4 linked regions of the Drosophila melanogaster genome follow. The protein of the gene in region 1 interacts with the protein of each later gene in a pairwise test. Each region holds a gene or a part of one and is shown in the gene's direction. Other genes may lie near its edges.

Region 1 (5,296 bases):
TCGAATTTACTCAGTGTTTAATGTTTAAATTTCGAAGCAATTCAAGTGTTGCTCTTGTGTAAGTGAAATTTTTGAAACTGGCTCGTTCATTGTAGATAAGCCCTTTTATCAGCAACACTAACGGGGCGGATACTTAATTTCTATGTAATACTTTAGTCGCCAACAGTGCTGACCAATATCAACTTACTTTTGTAGCTAAATAGCTAAAATGTTATTAATGGCGGTTTAGTTAAATAAGGTCATAAAAACAAGTATTTTCTTACTATGACTAATCTTATAAATTAAAAACATTTGGAGACTAAAAATATTTATATACAAATATCTATTCCCTGAAGTGGACAGATTTGGCTAATAAACAGCTAGACGGCCATGACTGTCTTGCCTTGCGAACTATCGATATCGATAACGCCGGTTGCGTGTCAGCACTATTCGCACTGAAACAACAAACACGCGCAAAAAAAGAAGAAGGAAACTGCATTGTTTACCAGATTTCGGAGTTTTTCCTCATCTATCCGAGCATCCGCGAATCCGTCAGAGATGGACATCCTTTTGGCCAACGTAAGTGGGCTGCAGTTCAAGGCGGAGCGGGACCTCATCGAGCAGGTGGGTGCCATCCCGCTGCCGTTCTACGGCATGGACAAGTCCATTGCGGCGGTCTGCAACTTCATCACCAGGAACGGACAGGAGTGCGACAAAGGGAGCGCCTGTCCCTTCCGACACATTCGCGGGGACCGGACGATCGTGTGCAAGCACTGGCTGAGAGGACTGTGCAAGAAGGGCGACCAGTGCGAGTTCCTGCACGAGTACGACATGACCAAGATGCCCGAGTGCTACTTCTACTCGAGGTTCAACGCCTGCCACAACAAAGAGTGTCCCTTTTTGCACATCGACCCGCAGAGCAAGGTGAAGGATTGTCCGTGGTACAAGAGAGGCTTCTGCCGCCACGGTCCCCACTGCCGGCACCAGCATCTGCGCCGTGTCCTGTGCATGGACTACCTAGCCGGCTTCTGCCCCGAGGGCCCGTCCTGCAAGCACATGCATCCGCACTTCGAGCTGCCCCCGCTGGCGGAACTGGGTAAGGATCAGCTGCACAAGAAACTGCCCACGTGCCACTATTGCGGCGAGCTGGGCCACAAGGCCAACTCGTGCAAGCAGTATGTGGGCAGCCTGGAGCATCGCAACAATATCAACGCAATGGATCACTCCGGCGGACACTCGGGCGGCTACTCTGGACACTCCGGCCACATCGAGGGTGCCGATGACATGCAATCCAATCACCACAGTCAGCCGCATGGTCCCGGCTTCGTCAAGGTGCCCACGCCCCTGGAGGAGATCACCTGCTACAAGTGCGGGAACAAGGGCCACTACGCGAACAAGTGTCCCAAGGGTCACCTCGCCTTCCTCTCTAACCAACATAGTCATAAGTAGGACGCTCTGCTCTGTATGATTAGACTGTAAGAGTGCAGAAATAAAGGTCGAAAGCGGTCTGCATAGTCCGCTGTGTAGTCCAGAGGTCGTAGGTTCCCAACTTCCGCAGGCGAACGTTTCAATCATTCTGTGTTTAAAGTGTATGTTAAGAAACTCATTTGCATTTTTGAAAAAAGTCCCTAGAACTGCCAGTAGAACGTATTGTGTTATCAGCGAAATAAACTTCCATAAGATACAAGTAAGCAATTCGTTTTGGAAGGGAGTTTAGTTGTATGTTTTGGGTTTTCTCCAAAAATATAAATGTATCATGTTTTTTCGTTTGTAAGATAACAATTTGTGCCTCACAATTTTTTTTCGGATTCAAGTTTCGAATTTTTGGGCGGCGAATCGTCTTTTCCAAGTTTGCAACCACTCTAGAGTTGCCTCACTTTTGTCCACATCTTTTGAAAGGCGAATTAGAACTGGTCACACTGGCTTGTCTGGATCGAGATTTCAGCTCGTCAACAATTGCGCACTAAATTTTCAGTAAAAACAAACAAGTTGGTCGTGCGGAGGCATCAAGAACACAGCATACGAGCAGCCATGACAATTCTGGGAAAACTGCGGGGACAGCCCACGGACCAGGAGAAGGTGCCCCTGCCCATGAACCTCAACGACGAGGCGCTCATGCACCATGGCTCCCTAATCGCAGTGAGTTTTGCTTGGCATCGCATCTGCGGGATGTGTCCTTATTTTTGCGCAATCGTGCTATGTCCTTGTCCATCCCTCGCGCCCTGCCCGCCACCGTGTCCTTCGTCCTGCGGCCCGAGAGCCACAAGTCTCGTGATGGGTGGGTGGTTGGTGCTGATTCCGATTCGGAATCCATTCCGAATTACAGCCTCAGCAGCAGCAGCTCGCCATCGATTTTTCCCCGACCAAGCTCCGCACTCCTTGGTGTCCTTGTGGCCCGTGCTTCCCCTTACCCCCCTGCCCGCATGCAACCCCTGCTCCACTCCAAGTGACGTGTGCCCATTCACTTTCCTGGGCTTTCCGCGCCAAGGACTCGCTCGCTCGCTCCCCGAGGTCAGCGCGAAGGGTTTTCCTGTTGCTGGTGGAGATTGGCCCTGACGGCTGGGGAAAGCCACTTACGGTGCCAGTTGCAGCCCTTTGTGAGCTGCTGACACTGTGCACTTTGACCTCGATTCGTGTGCACGGGTATCCAGAGAAAGTCGTGTCTTATCAGCTTGCTGGTCATAAGCACAATCATTCCCAGCTGCCAGCTCCCATCTCCCATCTCCCAGCATATTTGCCCATCTGCAGTTTATTTATTTAGTGTAGATATCACTAATTTTCCAGAGATTTATATACAATCATACATTTACATATGAGTTATGCACTACATAGTCGAATAAGGTCCACTCTAGTGCATGCAAATGCCTTCAATTGATTAATTTTTTGCAAGGGGATCTCTTCTGACCCCTCCTTAGACTAATCTCTCGCTAACGACGTATCTTTCGAAACAATTTTGACTTAGCAATGCAATTGCATTGTTTATAGAACAAGAGAAGGCATTGCAGTGAAAAATTATCTTGCTGAGCTGGCGGAAAATATAAATGTGTGATTAATATTCAGCAAGCTCAAACCTTTCGACTTGTGGAACTTCCACTATCAACATTACAGTCAACTGCCTTCTATTTGTATTTTTCTACGACTTATCGTCGTTTTTATGACTTTCCACTGGAACAATGGGTGATAAGGAAACAGATATAACAAGTCGGTCATTTTAGATAACTTTAGATTGTATATAAAACTGCTACTTTTCCATTGCAATTTGTTGTTCCTACAAAATTGCAAGTGACACTTAGAGGAGTATCCCATATTTTTAAAACCCCCCATTTTCCACACACAGCCCAAGGTTGCTTACAGCGATAATGAAGCCGACGCGGAATCCATGGTCTTCAACCGGCCGCAGCACCATTGCATCAAATCCTTTCTGCTGTTCCTGATCGCCGTAGTCGTGATGCTCCTGGGTGTCCTGGGCGGATGGACCCTGTACCGAGTGTACGCTCCGTCGCATAGCAGCATGCGCTACCACGCCCTGTGCGAGATCCCCTATCCGGAGGACTCGATGGAGATGGCGCGGGTATATCCGCGCACCGTGGAACCGTTCGCCCTGAACTGGCGCTCCTTGCTACCCGAGCTCGCGCAACCGATGCCCAACAGTGGATCGCTGGACGAGAGCCACTTCCGCGAGGACATCGAACTGGACGGTGACAGCGATGACGAGGGCTACGCACGCGTGGACGTGCCCGACTTCAAGGATGGACGTCGTGGTCGCTTCATGCACGACTTCAAGGAGAACCAGTCGGCCATTATCGACACTACCACCGGACGGTGCTTCATCATGCCCTTGGATCGGGACACGACCCTGCCCCCGACCAGCTTTGTGGATCTCATAAAGAAGATGAGCACTGGCTACTACAACATAGATACGGAGCGCGTGCGGCGCCAGATGCGTGTGGTCATGCCCCGCATCACCGATGTCTCGCTCATCTCGGAGCGGATTGCCAACGAGTGCTTCGATATGAAGGTCTACATGATGGAGAAGTTCGTCTCAGGCGGTGAGTAGCAATGTCTTACAGGTGCCAGCAACTTACTGATCCATTCCCATTCCTCGACCCATTACAGTCTCGAAGAGATCGGCTGATCCGCTGCCGGAGTCAGCCAAGTACGCCGAGTTCATGGGCAAGGGCGTCATCGAGTACGACCTGGCCAACATCGCCGAGGTGGAGGCCTACGAGGCCAACGAGGCTAGGCAACAGGCCTGAGCTTTGGAGGAGGAGGAGGATCTTTTAAGCTACAACACCCATATGATAACACAACCTAAACAAATTATTACTTAGAATCGATTTATACATACACAGAGCCATGCCTACAAGTCTAGATCTGGTTACCACTGGTTAGCAGGACACACACCCACTCCGGGTGGATATATCATCATTGGCCAAGCGAGTTTAGCAAATTATAGACCCTAGTAAGGAAGCGTAACGAAAATGTACCTAGAACGCAATCAAAAGCGATCGACGAAATTGTGACAAATACGTGAAATGTATTAGCCTCGAGGGCGGATTGAAAGGATACGGAGAGATTGGATCGGTACACGCGCACAGACACACTGCGGCATTCCAAGTACATATTTTATATATATGCTCTTAAACTCTATTCTAACAATTAATGTATAGAACGGATTCAGAACGAAGCTATTTACAGCAAAAACAACCTGAGGGCGGAAAACATGGCAACTATCAGCATGCGTAAGAGAAACAAGTAAATTAATCTAAATGTTCTTTAAACTACTTACATGTATTAAACGCGAATTTGTGATCTTTAGCAGTGTGATCTTTATTGGTTGGGCTGCCACTGGCAATAGTATTTTCGACTAGAGTATACTTTAAGTTAACTAATCTAAAACAAACAGCTTAATCTAGAAGAACGGCTTGCACAAGGCAATGGTGTGATCCACTCCGTAGGCCACTTTGGTGACCTTTCCGTTGATGGCCGCCTTAAAGGGAAAGAACTGGTCCTTCTTGTGTCCCAGCCCCAGATGCCCGAACCTGTTCTTGCCCCACATGAAGAGATCTCCGTCCGAGTTGACGGCGCCCATGTGAAACACTCCGCATCCGATGGAAACCACTGTGGTTTCGTTGCTGAAGTCATTTCGTCCGAATAAAGGCGGCAACAGATGCTGCGGCTTGGATGTTTGCTCCACGAAGGGTCCGAAGCCGAGGATGCCAAAGCCCCAGGTGTACACCAGACCCTGGTCGTTGAGGGCCATGCAAAATGAGCCTCCCGCAGCCACATCCTTGATTTTCCCGATGGACTTCGTTAG
Region 2 (8,047 bases), on another chromosome or scaffold:
CAATGAGCGAGCGTGCTTGGCCAATAGTGTGGAAACGGACAAGTTTGGGGTGGTAAAGCACCTAGTTATAAAACCGAAAATCAAAAAAACAATCTAGATATGTGTTCATCATTACTTACTCTATGTACGGTTCCATTTCCTCCATCGTCCATCTCTTTTTAGTCTTAAATAGCGCCCGCATGCGATCGCTTATATTGGTGGGCAGTAACTCCTCTGCCAGGGAGCGTATGCAAGGCTGCGCTCCCTCCTTGTCGCAAATGCCCAGACCTCGTAGGTACTTTAAGTCGCAGGACATGCCCTCGGGCAGTACCTCCTGCCAGGTGCGCATGAACTCCTCGTTGCGAAAGCGCAAACCCGGCTGAAGAATGTTCTGTGCCACAATGCGGGAGACCAAGGACTCCTGGTACTCAAACTTGCCCGGGCAACGTTCACTGGGAATGGTATAGATATCAAACAGCCCAGCCACAACATCCTCTGGAGCTATGCCCTTCAGTGCATTGATGGTCTCCTCCCGTTCCACTTCGTCCAAGGCCCAGGAGTTTTCGCTTATCAAACCCAGCATCATGTTAATAATGCGATACTCGTATTCGTACTCCATCACGCGCATTCGCCCGTCCAGTTCTATGGCTCGATATTGGTTCAATCCCTCCATGAACTGACCGCGGCTGCACTGCACCGTGTCCAGGAGCTGCGAAAAGGTAAAGAGTAGCTTCTGCTCCACGCAGAACTCGTTCTCCGGCCCCGAATATCGAGTCAGCTGCAGTAGTTCACCCAGCTTGCGAAAGCGCGGCTTTATCTCGCGGCACTCGAAGTACTCGTGGAACACCTTGAGCACCGGCCGCTGCTCCAGAGTTCGCGGCACTTCCAGTTCATCCTCCGTGCTGTCATTGAGGCTGCGCTCCAGGGAGGCGTTGGCGTTGCCAGTGCGCGGACTCTTCAGCGGCGAGGTGCTGGTGGCGGCGGCAAACTTGAGGTCCGGTACCAGCAAAAGGCTATTGGATATTTCCGCGCCCTTCACGTCGTACGTTCGCTCATCGGTGCACAGCACCAGCTTCTCGTTCTGGCCACCCTTGAAATATAGCGTCTGGCCGTCGCGGATTTGTCCAAGCATGTGCCCATCGAGCTCCAGAAGGCGCAGATTGTCCGAATCCACGTCCGCCGAGGGAAAGTACAGAGCCTGGGTGAGTTGGGTCAACTGGCGCTCGTCCAGTTTCGCATGCTTCACAATGGCCTTCACATCCTCCGGCGTGCGAACGTAGCTATGGCGGGTGGTTGGGTAACATTATAACTCCTACGCAGGCATACCAAAGGCACTCACAGCTGGGCAGCAGACTCATCAACCTCCATGGATTCCATGTTCGCTGCATGTAAACAAAACAAAAAATTAACCAAAACAATGAGCGGGAAAAAGTAGTGGGACCAAAGCACAGCAATGTTGCTTTCGTTGAGGGTATTCAATGGCCTTTCAATATGTAAGCTTAATGTGCTTGGAAAACATTACAGCATTAATCCGCACACCCTGCAAGGGCACACTCACCGCTCAGCTGATCAGTTATTTAACGGTCGTAGCCTCGGCAAGAACGTTTCTTTTTTGAGCGGAGATTTCGCGAGCACGCGTCTTGTTTTCCGCCGTTCGCCGTGCACTTGGACGCGCACTTTAGAAAGCGTTGACTGCGCCAAAGGTCATTGCTGGGCAAGAGAAGCGTCCAATCGCCGCTGGTGGTGACGCTTGTGGAAAAATCAATTCGGACCAGTGACGGACGTCGAACTTCCAGTTCTCTGACAAGCGGAATCCAGTCAACAACAACATGCCCGTGGGAACGTTTGACGCCTGGGATGCGGCCGTGCTGATCACCATCCTGGTCATATCGGCTCTGATTGGCATCTACTACCGGTATACAGGCGGCAAGCAAAAGACCACACAGGAGTATCTGATGGCGGACCAGAGCATGACCACTTTTCCGGTCTCCTTCAGCCTGATGGCAAGCTTCATGTCCGCCATCTCACTGATGGGCGTCTCCAACGAGTCCTACGAATTTGGTACCATCTTCTGTGTGATCAACATTGCCTACGTGCTGAGTACGCCCATTGCCGCGTACTTCTTCCTTCCTGTTTTCTACAGGATGCGGACGACCAGTGTGTACGAGTATCTGGAGCGGCGCTTTGGCCAGGCCACCCGGCTGTCCGCCTCCCTGGCCTTCACCGTGCAAATGGTGCTTTACATGGGCATTGCACTCTATGCACCAGCGCTCGCTTTAGAAGCTGTAACCGGCATTCATCGGTCAATGGCCATCGTGGTCATTGGACTGGTGTGCACCTTCTATTCGACACTTGGCGGCCTGAAGGCGGTGCTCATCACGGATGTGTTTCAGTCCTTCCTCATGTTTGCCGCCATCTACGCCGTGATTGCCGTGTCGGCCATTAAAGCCGGCGGATTCGCGGCCATCTGGGATGTGGCTGTGGAGCGAGGACGCGTGAACTTCATTGAGTTTTCATTGGATCCCACCGTGAGGCATACTTGGTGGTCTCTGATCATTGGCGGCATGGTCACTTACCTCTCCTTGTATGGCGTTAATCAAACGCAAGTACAGCGACTCCTGAGTGTCCGCAATTTGAAGAGCGCTCAGTCGGCGCTTTGGTGGAACCTGCCCATCCTAGGAATGCTTAGTTTTAGCACCATTTTCAGTGGACTGTCCATATTCTACTATTATCGAGATTGTGACCCTTTGCTAAAGGGACGCATCGACAAGCGGGATCAGATCATGCCCCTTTTCGCACTGGAGACTATGGGTGAGTTGGAAAGACATCCAATAAGAATTAGCATTATTTGATTTCTTTTTCCGGCAGGTCAATATCCTGGACTGTGTGGTCTGTTCGTGTCCGGAATATTCTCCGCCAGTCTTTCCACGATTTCGTCGGCAGTTACCTCGCTGTCGGCTGTAACACTGGAGGATTACCTGAAGCCCTTGTACAAGGCGATATTTAAACGGACGCTAATTGACTCCAAGTCCACGATGCCCACCAAGATTGTGGCGTGCATTTTTGGCCTGCTTTGCATCGGTCTAGCTTTTGTCGCTGGCTCCATGGGCGGAGTTCTTCAGGCATCGCTTACCATTTTCGGTGTGGTAGGCGGTCCGCTGCTGGCCATTTTCACACTGGGAGTCTGCACTACACGCAGCAACCAAAGAGGCGTGCTGCTTGGCTTCCTCGTTTCCCTGATAGTTTCCTTCTGGATGGGATTCGGCGGACCCAAACCAAAGCCAGTTACCTTGGAGTTTAGCACAGCGGGCTGTGAGAATGCCACCGCGGTAATGGCGCGTGCCATCGAGCTCAGCTCAAAGAGCAGCGGAGTGGTCATCGAACCCGACTACTTCTGGTTATATCGAATTTCTTACTTGTGGCTGAGCGTCATCGGCTTTCTTATTGCCGTGGTCGTCGGCTATTTCAGCAGCATTGTGCTGGCTCACTGTGGAAAGGCAGAAAACGCGGAAATCTATTTGGACAAGTCTCGGAAGCAGCTGGACTACGATCTCTTCGCACCCATGCTGTCCCGCCGCTGGCGACGCCATAAAGAAGAACAAGACCAAACTGCCCAGGACGAAACGCTCACCAAACTAACTGAGCAGTAGTTCCGCCCGGCTTAGATTTAGTGTAGAATATATACATACATATAAAAGAATTTCCAGAAGGCGTCGGCTATTTGGTTAGTCGTGTTACGGATGTCGTACCTAAAAGTGCATAACTATGTGACCTTTTTGTATACCTGTGTGAACGAAACTGGCATACAGAGCGACCAAAACAGAGTCTTCCATATACACGTAAACAACGATAATTAGTAGTTATTAGTCGTGTTGCAAATGTTCACAAGCGCATCATTAAGAGGCCTCTTAAGAATAGTCAAATGTTTTTTACAAGAACGTATCAAAAGTAGGAGTCTACCTCAATGAACTTTTACAGAGGGACAATAATCAATTTGGAGCCTAAAAGCGAGTTGGCCGACTACTTTCCCATGTTGAGCATTGGCAGCCACAATGCCCCACATAAATTATTGATTTAGTAGTACATCTAATTTTAATGGGATATTTATATTCATACCTCTTAGTTACTCGATATTTGCATACATAGATAACATAATAACATTACAATAATACACTACAGTGAGCACCGCCTATAAATAGTTACTACATGGCTCTTAAAGCATTACATTGCGCCACAGTGTGAATTCTGTTTACTTATATACCTCTACTATATGTACACAAATATACTATAGACTAATTATATACTCGTGTCGTGTCGCAATCAACCATTGAACAATAACTCGGAGCAGTGAAAGTTATGTGTATTTGTAAAAGCCAAACTGCTGATCATTAAAGAAATCTGTTCTACAAAATGTGATTGCCTTTTTTTTTATTTGCTGCGGAAACATGATACTTGCAATCCCCAGCTGCAGCTTGGATTGAAATAATTACTTCGGTTGGCTCATGGGTGTTTTTCAGAAATCACGATTTGTCGAATACTTCCTGCGATAAGCAAATTCGTACGCTATCAGCTACCAAGGTTATGCGAGGCTCTCCCAACATTGCTCACTCGATGAGGAATCTATTTCGGAACGAATGCCATAACTTTCAAGCGTTTACCTTTGCCAATTGACTATTGCGCCATGCGGGAACAAAGTCTAATTGCGGGTCGGAGACAGCAAATTGCTTAAAATTGGAGAAGCCATGGGTCAGCATGTGAATATGGGTTCGCCTGTAAACAAATGCCAATTGATAGATTTGTCGAAACATCATTAATAAACCCAGACCACGCTCGTCTTGCTCATGGAAAGTTTTCAGAACGGATTGGGAGTTCAAAGTACGAATAGACTCGCATGACACACATTTTTGGCTAATGTTCTGGCGAAAGAGGAGACCAAAAGCGGTGGATAACATAGTTACGCCATAACCGATTTTTGTTTACTCTAACTTAGTGTGCGATTTACTATTTTTAACAATATTTATGTTAACCAACAAGAATCTTAAGGCATTTATTTGTATTCATTAGCAACGTCATAAAATATAATAACCATACAGATTTACATATAAGAGTATCAATTTGGCGACTGATGATTGTTTAGCCTTCATTTTTGCAACGCCAACAGATGATTTGGGCGATTTGTTAGCATTCGGAAGCAAAGCTTTCACAGATAGTTTCGCTGATACGATAAGGGTTTCGTTTGGATAGCATTCATTGAAGTGATTCATTGGGGAAGATTTATGGTTCTATTGATTCTGCTTCCTCACAAACTTCATGAACACATCCTGGAAAGTTGTATGGCTGACCGAGTAGTACAATATCTGCATCTCATCCTTCAAGTTCTCCATGTACTCGAAGATCGCGGACCACTTAATCTGCCCTCTGGGAATGCAGAAGGTGATCATGCCACGGTAGGAGTACTTCTCGCTGGGGGGAACAATTAATTATAATTAATTAAATATATACAACTCTTAGCTCTTTAAATAAATTACAATAACTATTATGCTCGATTGAGATGTAAGGTCATAATAACTTTCCTTTAATCAATCATGACTTTCTTATACACAACGTAAACAAGATTATTTTCATTTCTGTGCCAGTATGCGCGATTTGCCCAGACTATTTATATATGAGTATATTATTTGTAAATAAACCATATTCACATCCAAAGTGAGCAGCAAATGTTTATGTAGATATCTGTGTGCGTGCACTAGTGTATTGAAAATTTCAATCTGCTGTTGCAAGTGGTCAATATCGTCAATTAGCAATGATCGTGACCCAAATAAAACGAAAATAGAAAATCCTACTTTATCAATTAATATGGATACTGTTTTAGTTTGATTAATTTTTTCAGAAAACTTTGCTTTAAGACGATATGTAATGATGTCAAAATATGCATAGAAAATTACTCATACGAAACATATGCCAAAAATAATCTAAGCAAAAAGCTTGGTTAGCACATATCAATATTCTGATATAACACTTTAGTAAATATTTTTATGTACATACCTGACAGTGCTGTATGGATGGTCCTTTTTGAAGACCTCCTCCAATTCCTGCAGCAACGCCTCGTAGTCCTTGCGCATGTTCAATTCCGAATTTGTGGTGTCCGGCTGGGCGCGACTGGTCCTCGACTTCTTGACTGGTTCCACTGGTGGATTGTGATGTCTCAGCAAGTGCGCCAACATCATACGGCGAGCGCCCACCGTGCTTCCCATTTCACTATCGTTTGGAGGCATCATAGTGATCTGCATCCAATTGTCCCGCTCATCGTCCATTTCTGCTCTGGTACCCATCTTCACCTTAACGAAAATGCCCATGTTGAAGCGGTGCTTTAAACGCGATAAAGATCCGTAGCAGAGCAGCGAGCCGTGATCCATGATGCCCACATTGGTGCACAGAAACTCACACTCCTCCAAGTTGTGCGTAGTCAGCAGAATGCTGCGTCCACCCTGGCGGATGCCGTCCAAAATACTCCATATCTCGTACTTGGCATGCATGTCCACGCCGGCGGTGGGCTCATCTAGGCACATAAGCGAGGGCGCCAGGGTGCCCATGGCAATCATTAGCTTCCGCTTCGTTCCATTGCTGTATGTGCTGATGCGCTTATTCATGTGCGGTACGAGTTCAAAGCACTCGGCCAATGATGCCACCAAGCTCTTGATATATTCCCTTCGAATGCCGTTGATCAAGCAACAGAAGCGCAGCGCATCCTTGCCAGTCATGAACGACAAGAGCATCAGTTCCCGCGGACAGAATCCCACGTGTCGCGAGGCGTCCTTGGGACGCGTCTTCAGGCTGTAGCCCTTGATGTGAATGCTGCCCACCGTGATCGACTCCATGCCCACGATCATGCGGAAGATGCTGGACTTGCCAGACCCATTCCTTCCCAGCAAGCCAACGCACTCGAAACTGGTAAAAGATGTTGTGACTTTTTTACCTTCATACTAAAGTGATACTCACGGATTGAGATCCAATGTTAGGGACCGCACTGCCACAAAGCTGCCATACCGCTTCGATAGGTTCTTTAGGATCAGAGGAAAGAAGGCGTAATGCGCTGTGGTCAGGTAGGCCAATCTCCGCCGCATTTTGTCCACTTCCTTATCCTCATCCTTGTAGCTTGGGTATATCTTTTCGTTGCGAATTGACCTAAACAACAATTGGTAATCGGTTAGCATAAAGCTAGAGCACAATTGATCTAAACATAACTTGAAGACATAGTTTAGTCGGCGCGGAACCCATGCGAACACCACAATGGTAAGATACGCCGCTCCGCTGAAGATCAGGTAAGGTAGCTGCTTCAAGCTGAAGGTACTCATACGTATCGCCTCATACATTCCGCAACACAATGAATAATGTGGATGGACCAAAAGCACGGACTCAATAACAGCGTACCGAGTTTGCGGACTCTTTGGGTGAATGAAGAGGGCCAAAACACCTGGAAATAAAGTTTCCTTGCAGTATCCAAAAAGAAATACAATGAAGCCATAATTACCTATCATATTGATGTACAATATAATGCTGAACATCTTGCCGAAATCATTGGACATCAGGCACAACAGATAGGTGAATGAAATGGCGGAGAACCCGAAGGCAAGCAACTGAACTATTACGGGCAACACGGAACCTATTGTGATTCCGGCGACCACGATCAGAGGCAAGATCATTGCGATGTAAAAGCAATAGTCCCAGGACAGGTGCGACAGCCAGTAGGTGCTGCGGCTCATCCCGCTGCTGAATTGCTGGTGCTGCACTTTGGACCGGCGCTCGACGATCGGCAAAACTGCAAAGATGGCAGTGCCCAGGACTAGGTAATGGAACACCAGCACGGCAAATTCTATGGTGCTGGCGTAGATCAGTCCCCTAACTGCCTGCTGTACCGTATCCTGATACGGTTTGTTCACAATCCGAATATCAAGTTTTGCCAGCTCCTGCCCAATGGCCGCGTACACCAGGCCCATTGAGAGTGCAGAGCCGTGCTTGAGCTTGTTGTTTGACCAGGCGATGATCGAGTTGGCGTTGCTGTCGAAGG
Region 3 (7,551 bases), on another chromosome or scaffold:
TATTTTTACTAGCTTAAAGTTTTTAGTTCTTGGATCAGAAATAAGCTTATAATCCATTAAATACGCTCCTTTTTAACTTTTTCAAACTGAAAATTGCTTACAAAGCCAAAATATTTATGAGTTAACTTTTTCGATTCGAAAAAATTGAGTCAAGGCAACTTCTCGAGTTTCGAGTGTCAACAGCGATAGGAAGGGAATTTCCATTTGGTTAGATGTTTAAAAACCCATTTACATATGATAATGATTTCCTATGAGTTCTTTGTTGAAACAGATGTTTAAAAAATGGAGCTTGGCTGATTGCAAAATTGAACAAAGTTGAAGTGAATATGGGTATGGATGGCTTATTGGATATTTCGATTTAGGAGGTAAAAGTCCGCGACTTCGATGGAACCCCCGAAAAGTGGCGATCCCAGAAGGAGGACGGTGGAGAGAGAGAGCTGTTGGATCAGTTTAGTTCACAGGTAAGTTGGCAAAACGCGAATGTGACTCACTGGCGGTACAAACTAGTATTATCTAGGTGGATTTCTCTAGAGGTTGCTCGAAGAAAAAACAGACGCCGTGCGAGTGGTGAACGTGCTTCGAATCACCTTATCTCGCACCTACCGCGCTCCACACAGAGAAACAAATATGCTGCAACTTTACACGTTTTAAATGCAGTTTTCTAAACAAAAATATATGTGTGAAATTTGTATACCCATTTAGATCAATTTTAACGTGCTTTGATAAGTCTCGAAAACGATTTGAGTTTCGGATGAAATGAATCATCACCCCAATTGTTACTCTGCATTTGATGTTTCTGTTTTTTACCTCGCCGCTTTGGGATTTCTTTATAAACGATGTCGCAAAAGAAAACTGGATTCACAGGCAACACACTATGTGGGCAATGGGCTTCGGTTTTGAATTCGGTGTCGTTGTTTACCGCTTCGCTACCCCTGAAGTAAATACGTTCATACATATGCATGTATATATGTACTTACCATTATGTTTGTACTTTATATGTACCATATCCGATCGAGTCGAATGAATACAAGACAATAACTGTACGGGTTGTCCATATTTGAGCATCGAAAGCGTTTTTCCCTCGACGAATTCATTTAATGCTGAGACCCGTAGTCTTTAATTTTTGTGTAATGCTCTCAACGATTTTCAGGCCACCCCCGAGAAATACATATACATGAACATATGTATGTATAACTGAGGACGGTGTTTACGTAGTGACGAAAAGCACGCAGAGTATATATATAGTAGTATATGAGTATATATACTCAGTATATATATGTATACTGGAATAAAAATGTAAAATATTTAGATGAAACTTTAATATTTATGGGTATCCGGTAGGTGCTCGTGCATTGTTGTTTTCAAACTCCACTAGATATGTATCTACATATGTGTGCTACCCATATTTGTTGCCCTGGATGCCTGTATGTCTGCACACAAACTTAAGGCAAATCAAAAGCGTAAACAATTTTGTTTTTATTTTGCTTTTGGTTGCTTCTCTTTTATTTTAATGGCGCTTTGCTTAAGCTAATTGCAATCTATAAATGGCGACGGCGATAGTGGATTTCAGCGAGGTTGTCGGTGAAGGGGTATATACTTCGCCCCTCCCCCCACACGACCGTTTGAATTCGCGATTGCAAACATAAAAACAAAAGCCCAGAGCTAAAGAAAAAACAGATATATGTATAAATCATGGGGAAACGTGACTAAATGGAATCGTTCATACCCCTTGATTGGCATTTAGACATCACTTCGATGTACATTGTTTATAACCTATAAATTTCTGAATGTAAAATAAATTGTTATGCTTATTAGCAAAGCGTTCTAAATATATAAGATAACGCTTTCGTCCAATATACCCTAACTGCGGGGTATCCAAAGCGAGATGTGGCTAAACAAAAAGTTGCGTGCACTGGTCTCGGACTGGGCCCGTAGATGTATCTGTATCTACGCAATTGGTATCTGTAAGATACACACACATCCGAATGTTCACGTTGTGCCGCCACACGCGCTGTGTGCCGAGCGGGATGGAGATACTGGTGGAGCGAGATGGGAGGCGTTCGTATTTACAAGTTTTGTGCGTTGGTCTCTGACGACCCCTTGGCCACCCATCTCCTACGTCCCCCTGGTCACAGTCCCCATTCCTCACTCCCCTGTATTTTTGTACAACCATATGTATGTATGTACGTATGCGTGCAAAGTACGCAAATGGCGAAGAAAAATATTAAAAAAATATAAATATAAAAATAAGTTAAACACACAAGAGAAAAATATTCACTTCAAGTGAATTCTGGTAGTGTATTTTAATGTATTTATGGGCTATAAAGATTTGATCTTTTCGAGTTTCATTTATTGCTGTTATTGATGTTTCGCTGGAACACTATGTTTTTTTTCTTATCAAAACTTTTTAAGAAAATTACCAGCTAGGAAACTCCACTTGAACTCTTGGTTCTTTCGTGCTCATAAAAATATCAACAGTTTTTTATGTGTATAAATTGTGAATATATTATGGGCAATCTCATGTGAGTGTGTGTCAACGGTTATTTTATTTTTTTTCCTTTCGGTTTTTGTTATTTTCAGGCAGTGGAATAATTTTATTCTGCTGCGCAATTTCTACTATTGATTCCCATTCGTATTCCCACATTTTATGCTTTTCTTTGGCCTGCCCCTATCGCCATGGCTTCGCTTCCATGAACTGCCCTGCTTTGATACCATTTTCTAAATTAAGGCATACTTTCGCACAAACAAACATTCGACTGTGTACATATACATATGTACATATATGTGGGGTACTTGCGGACCCTGATAGCATTCGCACCTTATCGCTATAGTGGCTCTGTGTACATTATAATTATTATTGCACGCGTAAACATCATATATAGCGATAAGAGCGGTTGTTGTTACCTCAGACGGATGATAAGCGTAGTGTAGTCAAGCAGATGTTAACCCTTAGAGAGTCGGAAATTCGGTTGAGTTCGTAACGGAAATGACTCTGTGAAATGGGTTCCCAAAAAAGGTGGATGATTCACGGACTCCAAATACCCATGCGGGCTATTAACCAGTCCATCTTTTATGTCACATGTATTAAGATTATATTTATATAGCACACATTTTTTCTTAAATTGTTTAAATTTTTATACCAAATGGGAACTATATCCATATCAGGCAATTAATATTAACTGCTTTTTGGATCACCCTCAATAATGCATACAATCTGCATACTCATTGTTTTATTACAATACAACTACCACTAATTAATATTAATAGACCACATATGATATGGCATTCGTTTAGTCAGTTTAAGATAATTCTGAATTCTGTATACCCTCGGCAGGTTCAAAGAACTTACTAGTTTCCATAGAGGTCATATTGGATACGAAGCTTTCAGCAAATTGAAATACTTGCTATTCCAAGCGCCTTGAAATGGTTTTAGGTTGGCAATCGCTCACCTCACTGTATTGACTTTTCATCTCGGCGAACACGTGACTTGCGCTTTGTCTGGCAATATGTATTCCCATAGCTAGAAAACTCATTGAATGTGAATGAATCTGTTATCGGTCAAGTGGGAACGATGTGTGATAACCCCGTGGTTTGATAAGCGTCGATGTCGAGCTTGGATTGCATGAAGTGGTCTGATCGTGAGATTTCAGCTTGGAATCAGTCAAACATTTCCCAGTTCACCGACAAGATGTGGTCCTCTAAGACTATTTTGGTTTTCCTAGCAGCATTTACTTTGGTCCAGGCATGTTTCCGATTGTGCAAGCCTGCTGGATGTTTCTTAACAAAATTTCTAATCCTTATAGGGTAGCATGCGGTTTCACTTCACCTTGGACTTTCACGTACAGCAGCCGCCGAATGCATCCGACACCATCGACAAGACCATTATTGTGGAGAACGATCGGATATCTATGGTGGACAACGAAGGAGCGACTACTAAGGCTCCGATGACCCAGTGGACAGATCAGGATCAGTATAATCAGGACGCATTGCTGAAGGTGACCGATACGCGCAGATCGGTGCAACAGCTGAATACGGAGCTCTCACCCCTGGTTGGCAGGAGCACCGATTTGGCCAGAAGGATTAAGCAGAGTATGCGATACGTCAACGAGGTGGATGCTAATCTGGACGATTTGAGCAACTTTGGGCAGCTGGTGGAGCTGCTCAAGAAATTCGTAATCCTAGTCGATAACCTAAGGGATCCAAACAATCTCGGAGGCATTCGAAGCCTGGAGTACGTACTCCTGAAGTTGGCTCTAGAGAAGTACGACCTTCTGAACAAGCGACAGGAGATCGGTGAATACTTGGAAAGGGCGGAGAGTGCCTGGCGAAGATACCAAAACACACAGGTGGTTGTTCTGGATAACTCCACCTGAGTCGGGCTCAGATGCCTAGGACCACCACATTAGGAACTTAGTTTTAGGATAAAACAGAACAAAGACCAGCATCATGGGTCGACACAATCGCTGCACCATGATCTACTAGAGCGGCTCGGCTCTTGAAAGGAATAAAAGACATCGAAGGGACTTCCTGTCTATTATTCGATTTCACTGCAATGCCCAGAATTGCTACAGGTATGCGAGGGGAGGTATTCCAGGGGTAGAATACCCTAAATTCCCTTCGGTGCCCGGTTTCGTTAAGGCTGGAAAGTACGTTACACACGCTGGGAATGCCTTTGTACACTGCAAAAAATTTAAGTTAGACCTAGAAGAGTAAGCAATCATGATAAATAAGTATTTTACCCTAAACAAAAATTCTGCTTGATTTTTATTTGTTTTATTTTTCCCTAAAAAACTGCACCTGCAATCATTTTCGTGAAGTATTGATTTATTGATATTGATGTAGATTTCCTATCAGTAGAATCTACATTTCTTGCATAGCAATTCATTTAATCTAATCAAAATAACAGTAATAAAATACTTAAAAAAGAAAATACGATAAAGTTTTCAGTGCATTTCCATTCAGCAGATGCAGGTAGTCGGAATCGAGGAACTAAGGGACCTTTTAATAGGGTAGAACAGCTGCCAGAGCCGTTGCTAATAGATGAAGTGGAGGGTAGGGTCCCGAACGCGGGCAGAAATTTCCGAAACCCGAAACAACCACTAACAAAAACCATATGCAGTTAAGTGGGAAATGGAATGGGGCGATCCCGAGGAGAACGGCATCATCAGGACGTTACGAGTACCATTTGTCGGGTGAATTGTGGGGGCGGGTATTCGGGGTAACGATATCGTCGTACCCCCCATAGATGGTACTCAGGGAATTCCCAGCAGTGTGGAACGCTTGAAAGCCGACACCGCATCCAAATCTCTGTGTTACCCCTATGGGTTCCTTAACGGTTTTCAGCGATTTCTTTTTAGGGGTGTCGTCTGGAGTGTCGACTTATAAATACGCTCGTACAATCCATAAATGTGCCTTTGTGTTGAACAAAAACCATGAAGAAATCGGTATACATAATGAAAACTCGATTGGCATAAGAGGTACAAGCTGTATGAATACAGGTTTCAACTCTTTTTTGTATCAACATCAGCCGAAACTGGTCAAACGGCTTTGGAACATGGGCCATCCGATGGCTTATGTATCGTTTTGACAGTTTATGTTTATACTAAAATTTCGCTGCAGGCGATAAATATGTATTGAGACAGCATCCGGCCCAAGAAAGTAGTGGCTAGGGGGATGAATAACAGAACATGGGATTTATGTAAAAATATCAATTACACATGTGGACAATTTGCTTGCATACATAGTTAATATACATATGAGCATATATATTCATATGAAATTCCATACAAATCCATGTTGTATGAAATTGATATTGAAACCCACGTATAAAAATATATTGCCGTCGTTAGATAATTTATGGTTTAAAACAAAATAAAATGCATATTTTTTATACATTATTTAATGTTGTTTTTAATGTTTTTTTCATTGTCTTAAATAACTCTACAACTATTGTATTATTATCAAAAATTACAAAAGTAAGCGTATAATATATACATTGCGCAAAACACAGAAGTTACTATGAGAAAACTATTTGACGCATTATTAAGAACTAAAAAAAATAATTGAATCATTGGTTGCATTAAAGTTTAACCCCTGGTTTGTGAATATTATTGTTTGTATATTAAATTACAAATTACAGTTCATTATTTAAATTTCGCGCCCTAAAGATTAGACGATTTACGATAACGATTAAATGTATTCTTATTGCTTATGTTAACTTGCTGTTAAACGAATTTTGCCCTTCTTGTAAATGCATTTGTAAATGATTTGACTTCTGTAGTGAATATTCAATTCGGCTTGAAGTTTCGTAGGATTTTCAGGACCTCGATCTGAAAGTCAAGCTTGCGATCGGCGCACATCTGCTGCATGTGAGGCTTAATGGTGTCGAAGAAGGCCTGATCAGGATCGGCGGACAAGTAGGCGGTATTTGTACTGCAGGGTGGATCTGATGGTAACTGTGGAATATATGCGATTTCCGGAGTGGCGGTGTCCTCCTTGGCGCAGCCCAGATCTCCCAGAACCGTATTTATGTTGCTTGGTATGGCTGGATTGCGGATGGCAGGCTCAATATTCGATTCTTGGTCGGAGTTTCTCTTTCGTGGAGTCTTTGCAGATCTCTGTGCGGCAGTGCTCACTCGCTTCCGTTTGGCCTGGGGCTTGGGTTGCTCCTTCAAGGATTCTACATCGTCCTCCGACTCTGCTTTCACGTTCAGCAGGAAACTCAGTTCCTTTTCGTAGATGTAGGAAGCTCTGGCCACCTCCTCGCCACTTTGACGTAGTCGGTTGACCCGTAGGTAGCTGTCCCTCGTGTTTTTCCAACGTTTGAGCAGTGTTTTAACTGGAATTGGAAGTTATGTATGATATAGACTCAAAAAGGTAGCCACCACCTACCTATTTCCTGCTTCTCCGGCTCGCTGGAGTCGTCAAAATTCGAGCAAAGCTCGTGGCCAATTTGCTGCCAGGCCTCATCTCTGAGTTCGCGGTTATGGAAGTTTGGGTGGCTTCGTTCCCATATAATAGAACGTTTGTGTACCGCGTCAATGAACTCGTACATCGAATAGCGCAAATTGCTTCCTGCCGATCGAAGAACTTTATGATTGCCCATTATTTATTGTTTATTTAAGGGTTGGATTGGATTGACAATATGTTGCTTGCGTTTAACAGCACCACGGGCAGCTGCTTAACAGCACTCCCCGCAGAGTTGCCACCTCGCCCCGCATTTAAACTAAAAACGTTCTGATGTTATGAAAATACAAATTTCAATTTTGTGTTTTATTATTAAACATATACAGATAGGTCAGTGGATTATTGTTGCTGTTGTTCTTGCTTCGAAGCGTGCGAAATGCGAAGGTATGACCGAGTAATACGTGTACGTGTTAAATTAGGAGAGAAATGCAAGTGAGTTTTGATGATTAGGGTGTAGTGTTCTCTGGATTTCTGAATGATTCTATTTACATGGGCCTGCCCATTCCGCGGCCCATTCCCATGCCACCGCCGGCCATCGGGGGTTCTCCGGCCTTGGGACTCTTTATTGTCTCATCGACGGAAAGG
Region 4 (8,286 bases), on another chromosome or scaffold:
GCGAATCTCCGGCAGCAAAGCAGGTGCCATCACCAATTGTTGCCCTGGCGCAGAACGATGGTCCTTCCGTATCGGTGGCGATGGGCAGGAGGGCGTTGTCGAATTCTCCACGAGGAGTTGACCTTAACAAACCGCCCTCGAGAACACGCAACTTTCTCTCCGCCGCTGCGGTGAAACCATAGAGTTGCGATAGATCCAAGGACCCCGTGGCCTGGTTGAGCTACATACATATAATAGAAGTAAGCAATCAGTGATATTTTTACATGGTTTTTCACAATTGAATTCTTCTTACTTGTTCGGCGCCACCGAAATTGCAATCAGCCACGGCCAGAGCACTTCGCACATAGTTAAGGCAGCTGGGCACGTCGTATTTCCCACCGGGCTGGTACAGAATCGGAGCACATGCCGGGTGGTGGTGACGCGGCTGAAGGTTGATCTGGTCACGGCTGCAGCACTCTATTGGGGCTCCATTGCCTGGGAACGGAGAAATCGTTAATTGAAACAATTTTAACAATATAAATATATAAATTGATATACTTTGGTTTTAAGTATGTTAAGTACAAAAGGAAGAGGTCATCATATGAAACTCACTCATTGATTGCGACACCGGCTTGCTAAGATCATGCTCCACAAATTGAGCCCACTGAGGGAGGGCCAAATTGGAATTGCTTTCGAAGGTTTGTTGTTTGGAGATCTGAATGTGATCGGGCTCATACAGCTCCTTACTAATGGACCACGCAGCCGGCACTGTTTCGCGTCTTCCGGAATTGGGAAACATCTAAAAATACCATATAAACCATTTAATTCATCTTCTACATCCTGTTTTTCTGAGCGGATCGCACCTGATAGAAACCGTTCCTGTAGTGGCTGCTCCCAAGTAGCCTTCTGAAAGCATAGTGACCCTCTCGATTTCCCTTGAGTGAGTTCTCACACTCAGTTCGCAAGCTACTGCCCTCCGGAAGTGGTTTTTGCTCCAGGTAACTGCGGCACTTGTCTCCATCGATATTATTAGGCAGGCATTCGCTGTTGAAAACGAGCAAGCTGGACTTAAGGATCTTCAGGGCGAGCTTATTGTCCTTCTTCGAAGCTAGGCTTGGTAAAGTATCCAGAAGTTGAGCGTGTGAAAGGCTGCCGTTCTTAACAGTGATATCGGAACCTAATAGATTGTCCTCCAGTCTGAAAAAATGGTTAAGTAATATTATGTAAAATATAATGTTTAAATTTAAGCCCGAATACGGAAATATAAGTCGCGCACCAAGTTCAGCAGAAAAGTGTCACATCCTAAACATATCAGCGTAAGTCATTAAAGTTAACTGGTTTTCAAAGTAATCAGTTGTACAAACCGCTTTTGCCTATTTACTGAGTCCAACGCCGTTTCTACATATTGCAACCATTTCGAAGCAGGAATCCTGTTTAATTCGGCATTAACATCTCGGCTCGCTGAAGATTCATAAAATGATACAAATGAATTGGTTAAATTTAAGTTTATTCAGATGGGTAGTTTAATTTATAATTTTCATTATCATCATTTCTCTTGGGAATCTCAATTTCTAGGCGCCGTTTTAAGTAAATTGACTCATTTAAAGAAAACATGATTTATATCTACGGTATAATTGAATTGTTCTGGAATATTCCACAAATTGTCTTGTCAACACATTAATCAAGACAATTTAAAAGTACTATATCAAAGGTAACGATACAATCATAAAAAATGGCCTTTTGTGAATGGTTTCTATGCAGTCGTATTGTTATTGAAAGTGTGAATACCCTATTAAAGAGATATTTACCTGAATACAGTATGCTAATTCAAGTGAAATATCTCTGCATCTTACTCGAAAAATAAACATCAATTATTTCTCACGCTTATAGAAATCTATTTGGATCCGATCAGTAAACAATTGTTGATTGGGAATTCTTATTCAGCGATAAGCCCTCATATATGCGAACCTTGGGGTGAGCTTTTGGAATTTATTGGAATCTTTATCAACAAGTATATGCAAATGGGGTTTTTTGAATGTAACAATTTAGTAATGTTTATTACAATAAACAAATGTGAAAACCTGGTAAAAACCAATGCAGTCATTCATGATGATATAACGCTTGAGCACTCGCAGAAAGTGGAAAGTACATTTTACATTGATCAATAAAACAGTTTCCCATTTCTGTATATATTTTTAATACTTGTACTTAATTACAGGCTAAATAGTGCGTAGTGATTGTGGAAATTTATCGCTGTGAGACGACCAGCCTCCGCTTTACGAATGTCTTTCTGCTTTATCAATTAAATATTTATATACTTCAATAAAGTTTTTATTATCATAATAAACCGAATAACAAGCTATAAAATTAATAGGTTTCCCTCTATTTGGTCTACTTTTCTACACGAAGAAGACTGTGCTCTCTTAAAAGAAATTAGCACGAGAATGAGATACTTGACACCAAAATGTCTCTATAAACACAGAGTTTAATTTAAATACTGCTAGCGGACTCACAATTAGCATCGATTGTTGTCAATAATGATGCTCCTATTATGAAAGCCAGCAGGCAGATGTACTGAATTCCACCCATTGCAGTGTCTTTGTTCTAGAACTCGGATTTTTCAGCCACCGGTTGTGATTCACAAAATACCCGCACGTCAATGGGATTTAAGTCACGTCGCTAGCTTGTGATAAGGAAGTGATCCGAACTGCGACTCTATCGGACCTAATCCGCGCTTTCAGTCCAATTAAACCGTGTCGACGGCTCAGCGATTCGTAGACTACTGAGCTTGGGGGCAAATCTCGACAGAATCGAGTCGATGAGAATGAGAATGAGTCGGGTCGTTATCACGCACAAGGGAACCTCATCATCTGGATAATCATCATCATCATCATCTGGCTATCGTGCTGGCAGCAGACTCTCTCAGCGAATGAATAAAGTCGTACAAACGTAAACAAATGTTATTTTTGTTTTGGCTTGGTGAATCAAGCCACCCGTACAAAGCCGTACCAACACTAACATAATATGCAAATAAAGACCTCATCCGTGGGGTTCAGTTCTGCCCACGCCTTTGTCCGTCCATCTACTGATATATATGTAAAGATTTTATAAGCCATTATTAACGCCTGAGTTGATGGTTTGTCCGACAGATTGTTTAAATCCAGCGCCAAATTAATCGATAGGCTGAGCCAGTGGTTCACTAGTTCCGGCTTGAAACTAGTTCGTTTATTGAGTCACCCTAACATTACTACATGAATGTAAGAAAACTATCGATGGCGGTGGCAACAGTCCAACGATTGTTCCATCCCTATTCCTTCCACCTCTAATTTTCGGCTAAACAAGCGTTTTCTCATTTCTCAAAAAGCAATCAGATTTTATCAATAAAAGAGGACGATTTCACCAGCCATGGCAACTTTAGACGCGGAAGCCAACGAGGAGCAGTTCGGCAATGATCAGCCCAAGTCGATGTCGGGTCCAATCATTGGGATTATCTATCCGCCGCCGGAAGTTAGAAGCATCCTTTGCCAAAAAGAAAACAAACTTTTTTCTCAATTTAGCCATTTTTTACTCAAAATACATTCATTTAATACACATTTAGCGTTTCCCATACTCAGTTATCAAAGCTTTAACTATTAGATATCGTTGACAAGACCGCCAGTTTTGTGGCTCGCAATGGACCGGAATTCGAGGCGCGCATCCGCCAAAATGAGCTGGGCAATCCAAAGTTTAACTTCTTAAATGGCGGAGATCCCTACCACGCATACTACAGACACAAGGTCAACGAGTTCCGCGAGGGCAATGGTATGTTTTCGTTCACTTCCCATTAATACTTCCTCTTAATACATGAGACCGTTTCAGATGCCGGTATCACTGCCCTTGCCAGCATGAAGCAGCTGGCGGTGACCAGTGCCGCCCAACAGCGCCAGCAAGAGCTTCTCAAGCAAGTGGTGGAGCAGCAGTTCGTACCAAAGGAACCTCCACCTGAATTCGAGTTCATAGCCGATCCGCCCTCCATTTCGGCGCTGGATTTGTAAGTGTCCACTCGCCAGGAAGTTCCAATCGCTGTCTTATTGTCTTGCATATCTTTTCAGGGACATTGTGAAGCTAACTGCTCAATTTGTGGCCCGTAACGGCCGACAGTTTCTGACCAATCTTATGAGCCGGGAGCAGCGTAACTTTCAGTTTGACTTCCTGCGACCCCAGCACTCGCTCTTCCAGTACTTTACCAAGTTGCTGGAGCAGTATACCAAGGTCTTGATACCTCCAAAGGATTTGCTGGGCAAACTGCGTTCCGAGAGCGCACCGGGCAGGAGCAGCATGAACCAGGTGCTGGAGCAGGTTAAATATCGGGCCAACTGGCAGCGTCACCAAGAAGCACAACGCCGCCGTGAGGAGGAGAAGATCGAAAGGGAGCGCGTGGCCTATGCCCAAATCGATTGGCATGACTTTGTGGTGGTGGAGACGGTGGACTATCAGCCATTCGAATCGGGCAACTTCCCGCCACCCACGAATCCCGACGAGGTAGGAGCCCGTGTGCTAATGGAAGAGCGTCTAATGGACGAAGAGGGCGATACAGAAATGCAGATCGAGTCGGACGACGAGGGCGACTCCCAGGCTAACAACCTATTGGACAGCGGTCTGAAACTCTCGCAAATGGAGAACCGTGTGGGTATACAAATGAAGAACGTATCGTCGTATGGCCAGCCGACTGGCCCCAAGAGAGACAACACCCAGGTGCAAGACATGGACGAAGCCTCTAGTGATGAGGACACTCCAACCACTAAGTTGCAGCCATCTGTTGCGCCAATGCTGCCGCCCACCCACGACAAAGTGGTGGTCAAGAAATACGATCCTAAGGCAACGCAACCGAAGCAGGCGCCAATGCCTACGGATGAGTATCTCATCTCGCCGATTACAGGAGAGAAAATACCGGCTTCCAAGGTCTCGGAGCACATGCGCATCGGTCTATTGGATCCACGCTGGGTGGAACAGCGAGACAAGCATACTGTGGAGAAAATCAATCAAGACAATGTGTTCGCCGCGGGCACTGCCATCGAGGCGAGTCTCAAGCAACTGGCTGAGCGTCGTACGGATATCTTTGGTGTGGGCGACGAGGAGACCGTCATTGGTAAGAAGCTCGGCGAAGAGGAGACGAAGAAGGACGATCGCGTCACCTGGGACGGACACACGTCCAGCGTGGAGGCGGCCACGAGAGCAGCACGTGCAAATATCACTCTGGAGGAACAAATTCATCAAATCCACAAGGTTAAGGGACTGCTGCCCGACGAGGAGAAGGAGAAAATCGGCCCCAAACCGGTGGGCAACAAGGCGACGCTTTCAGCTCCGCCGCAGCCGTCAACCAAGTCGCAGCACAGTCACTCCAGCCAGAGTCAACACCACCAAGGTGGCGGAGGTGGTCACCACGGGCATCATAATCCTCATCATCACCATCCACCGCATCAGCAGGCGCCACCTCACCAGTCGCACCACCATCACCCGCCGCAGCAGCCTCAACCGGTGATGCAGCTGATGCAACTGCGTCCAACCATGATGCGTAAGTAACAAATAGTATGCAAATCTCGTCGAGGGCTTAGCGTTTTTATTTTGCAGAGCCGCCTTTTGGAGCTGGTGGTGGAGGCTACATGAACATGCAGCCTGGTGGAATCCCTCAGCAAATTGCACCTGCTCCACCTGTTGATATAATGGAGGAGGAGCCGCCTTCTAAAAAGATTCGAAGCGAGGACAACCTGATTCCAGAAGCAGACTTTATTGCCACCCACAAGGTAAGTTTGATTTTGATATCTGGCTATCTATTGGTATATAACCCATCTTAAATTATTTCAGAGCCCTGTGACCATTCAGGTTTTGGTACCCAATTCCGACAAATCAGAGTGGAAGCTTAATGGACAGATGATAGCCGTGACCATGGCACTTTCTGAACCCATTGCCAATCTGAAGACGAAGCTGCAGGACGAAACTGGCATGCCACCGGCCAAGCAGAAGATATTTTATGAGGTAAGAAATACAACTAATGTTTCGAAAACTATTATTTCAATAACATCTATCCTTCAGGGAATGTTCTTCAAAGACAGCAATACCATGGCTTTTTACAATCTGGTAAACGGAACCACGGTGCATTTACAGGTCAAGGAGCGTGGTGGACGCAAAAAGTAGGCGGATCAAAGATTAAAGGCATACCAGACACAATAAGGAGTGGGCCATATATAAAAATTTATTTGTATATGGTTTCGCATAAATTTGTAATAAATCGTCAATCACAGAATTTGTTAATTGCACTTAAGTTCTGTCAATTACAGGAGACGTTTAAGAAGGAATCAGTTTGTGAATGTACGGAGTATAAACTGGAATGTTACGTTGGGCTTTCGGAGAGTTTATGTGTTAGGATTGGACAGGACGCGCGCCATTTCGCGATATCGTTGTAGCATTGGAGCGTAGATTTCCTCGCTGTCCTTGTGTGGTTCGCATACAAGGCTCAGTTTGTTACTTGTCAGACTTAGGATATAATCTCGGTAACAGAGAGGCGTCACCCCATCACCTGCCTCTTGAAGGTACAGAGCGTAGGCGGATCGATAAGCGGCTCCCAGTAGGGCAGCCTCAAATCCTTCATCCTGCAAGAAACATGTTGCTTAAATTGCTTGCACTTGAGAAACAGTTGGTATGAACTAACCTGGATATGGACGGGAGCATTGAACACATCGGCAATTGTTTGCAGGATTGATTTGTTAACAGATGCGCCTCCTGTGACAAGGATTTGTGTCTCGGGTCCGAATTTGTAGCCAAGGTCTTCAGCCACAGCCCGGTGATGCAGCATCTGACCTTCAACTAGGGCTCGAATTTCGATTTGGGGCGAGCTGAATCTATAAAGCGAAAGAGGTCAGGAATATTTTATACATTTTAAAGAATTCAGTAGAAGGGAAATAGGCATTAAGAAAAAGTATAAACGACAAAAAACATGATCATGTTGGTAAAAAGTCATTTCTAAAAATAACTATTTACAGATGTCTGTTAACTGATTATGAGTCATTGCTTTCATGTCGGACCTAAAACAGCTAAATTTTCAATCAGACTTACTTGATTACACCCCTAGCCGCGTCCGGGGAACTGGGATCCATTTCCCTGTTCCATCGCAGAATACCCTGCGCCTTGGGAATGATTTCCATGTCGTTAAAGTGCACGGCCATGTTCCCAAAGTTTCCACGGGGCGTGGAGTCGAGATACTCATTGAATTTATCCCAATCGCCGCCGGTTGTCTTCTTGTTCATTTCCTCACGGACCAATGAAGCATTTCTAAAACTGAAAAAGACATTTAAATAAACTAATTTTAAGATATAATGTCCCAGGAATAATTTACCATAGAAGGCCCATGAATTCTTCCGTTTCAGTTGGATGGCAGAGTATATGACCCTCCTCCCAGTTTAGCGGCTCCTTCAAGCTCATCATTAGGGTGTCACTTGTGCCCATGGAAATGGTAAGCCAGCTGCTGCCCACCAACATTCCAGACAGCGCCGAAGGATTGTCCCCCGTGCTAGCAGCCACTTTGCAATCGGGCGAAAAACTAAAGCGCTCCACAAAGTACGGAGAGACGTTGCCTAAAATCGAATTTGGACTGACCGGAATGTCCAGGCGCTTGTCCAAATCGGGTGCACAAACATTTAGGCATTCTTTGGACCAGTTCTTCTTGCGGATGTCCAGCAGATTCATGCCGGAACCATCACTGAAGTCAATTGGAGCGACGGAGCCCAGAAATAGCGATGATATAAAACTGCTGACCAATGAGATTCGGTTGGCCTCTTCGTAGGCGTGGCAGCGTTGCTGATATATCTTTCTAATTTGGGGACCCGTAAAACGTTCGTAGCACTTCGAGCCCGTCAGTTCCACCATGTTAAGTTTGCCACCAACAGCCATCTCCATCTCTAGGCACTGTTTGGTGGTGGTGGCGTCCATCCAAATCGGAGTACGATTTACCACAAAGGCGGAGTCGTCGATTTGTGCGTGAAGGAACTTCTCGGAATCGAGGTTTTGCAGCGTGTTGATTCCATGTTTGGACCAGTAGAGCGATCCGTGCTGCTGTCCGGAGCCACTGATGGCAGCTACGGTGCTAAGATCCGCTTGCTGCATAACCAGTCGGTCCAGGACAATGTCCATGGCCTTCACCCACATCACTGGTTGTACAAAGTATCTAAAGAAGAACAAGTAAAGGTGGAGTCAGGTTAGCACATATATATTTTATAGTACCCATTGTATATATGGTCCCTGTTATAGGAAGGTTAAAAAAAACTTGAAGTG

What was found.
Region 2: the proteins of CG3662 (region 1) and CG10444 interact in a two-hybrid assay, tested with the Drosophila melanogaster proteins (one large-scale study listed by BioGRID).
Region 3: the proteins of CG3662 (region 1) and CG9837 interact in a two-hybrid assay, tested with the Drosophila melanogaster proteins (one large-scale study listed by BioGRID).
Region 4: the proteins of CG3662 (region 1) and Sf3a1 interact in a two-hybrid assay, tested with the Drosophila melanogaster proteins (one large-scale study listed by BioGRID).

What each region holds. Positions count from the first base shown.
Region 1 is NT_033779.5:819,542-824,837, forward strand, and holds CG3662 (uncharacterized protein), read left to right. Parts: upstream 1-1,747; 5' UTR 1,748-2,010; coding exon 2,011-2,118; exon of another isoform or gene 2,119-3,316; coding exon 3,317-4,028; intron 4,029-4,095; coding exon 4,096-4,235; 3' UTR 4,236-4,596; exon of another isoform or gene 4,597-4,649; 3' UTR 4,650-4,796; downstream 4,797-5,296. Other genes in the region: Clp (clipper), read left to right, coding at 538-1,428; CG3862 (uncharacterized protein), read right to left, coding at 4,892-5,296.
Region 2 is NT_033778.4:20,268,000-20,276,046, reverse strand, and holds CG10444 (uncharacterized protein), read left to right. Parts: upstream 1-1,547; 5' UTR 1,548-1,808; coding exon 1,809-2,790; intron 2,791-2,847; coding exon 2,848-3,629; 3' UTR 3,630-4,394; downstream 4,395-8,047. Other genes in the region: CG11788 (uncharacterized protein), read right to left, coding at 1-61, 120-1,259, 1,319-1,356; CG8908 (uncharacterized protein), read right to left, coding at 5,262-5,442, 6,025-6,927, 6,979-7,164, 7,225-7,453, 7,511-8,047.
Region 3 is NT_033777.3:8,805,920-8,813,470, reverse strand, and holds CG9837 (uncharacterized protein), read left to right. Parts: upstream 1-3,659; 5' UTR 3,660-3,688; coding exon 3,689-3,742; intron 3,743-3,803; coding exon 3,804-4,373; 3' UTR 4,374-5,792; downstream 5,793-7,551. Other genes in the region: hng2 (hinge2), read right to left, coding at 6,288-6,838, 6,892-7,105; CCT7 (chaperonin containing TCP1 subunit 7), read right to left, coding at 7,452-7,551.
Region 4 is NT_033777.3:16,997,358-17,005,643, reverse strand, and holds Sf3a1 (splicing factor 3a subunit 1), read left to right. Parts: upstream 1-3,288; 5' UTR 3,289-3,384; coding exon 3,385-3,493; intron 3,494-3,615; coding exon 3,616-3,780; intron 3,781-3,837; coding exon 3,838-4,009; intron 4,010-4,070; coding exon 4,071-5,533; intron 5,534-5,589; coding exon 5,590-5,762; intron 5,763-5,823; coding exon 5,824-5,994; intron 5,995-6,051; coding exon 6,052-6,153; 3' UTR 6,154-6,260; downstream 6,261-8,286. Other genes in the region: Irc (Immune-regulated catalase), read right to left, coding at 1-220, 293-474, 592-778, 843-1,176, 1,344-1,440, 2,493-2,568; CG3534 (uncharacterized protein), read right to left, coding at 6,372-6,608, 6,668-6,857, 7,072-7,293, 7,352-8,179.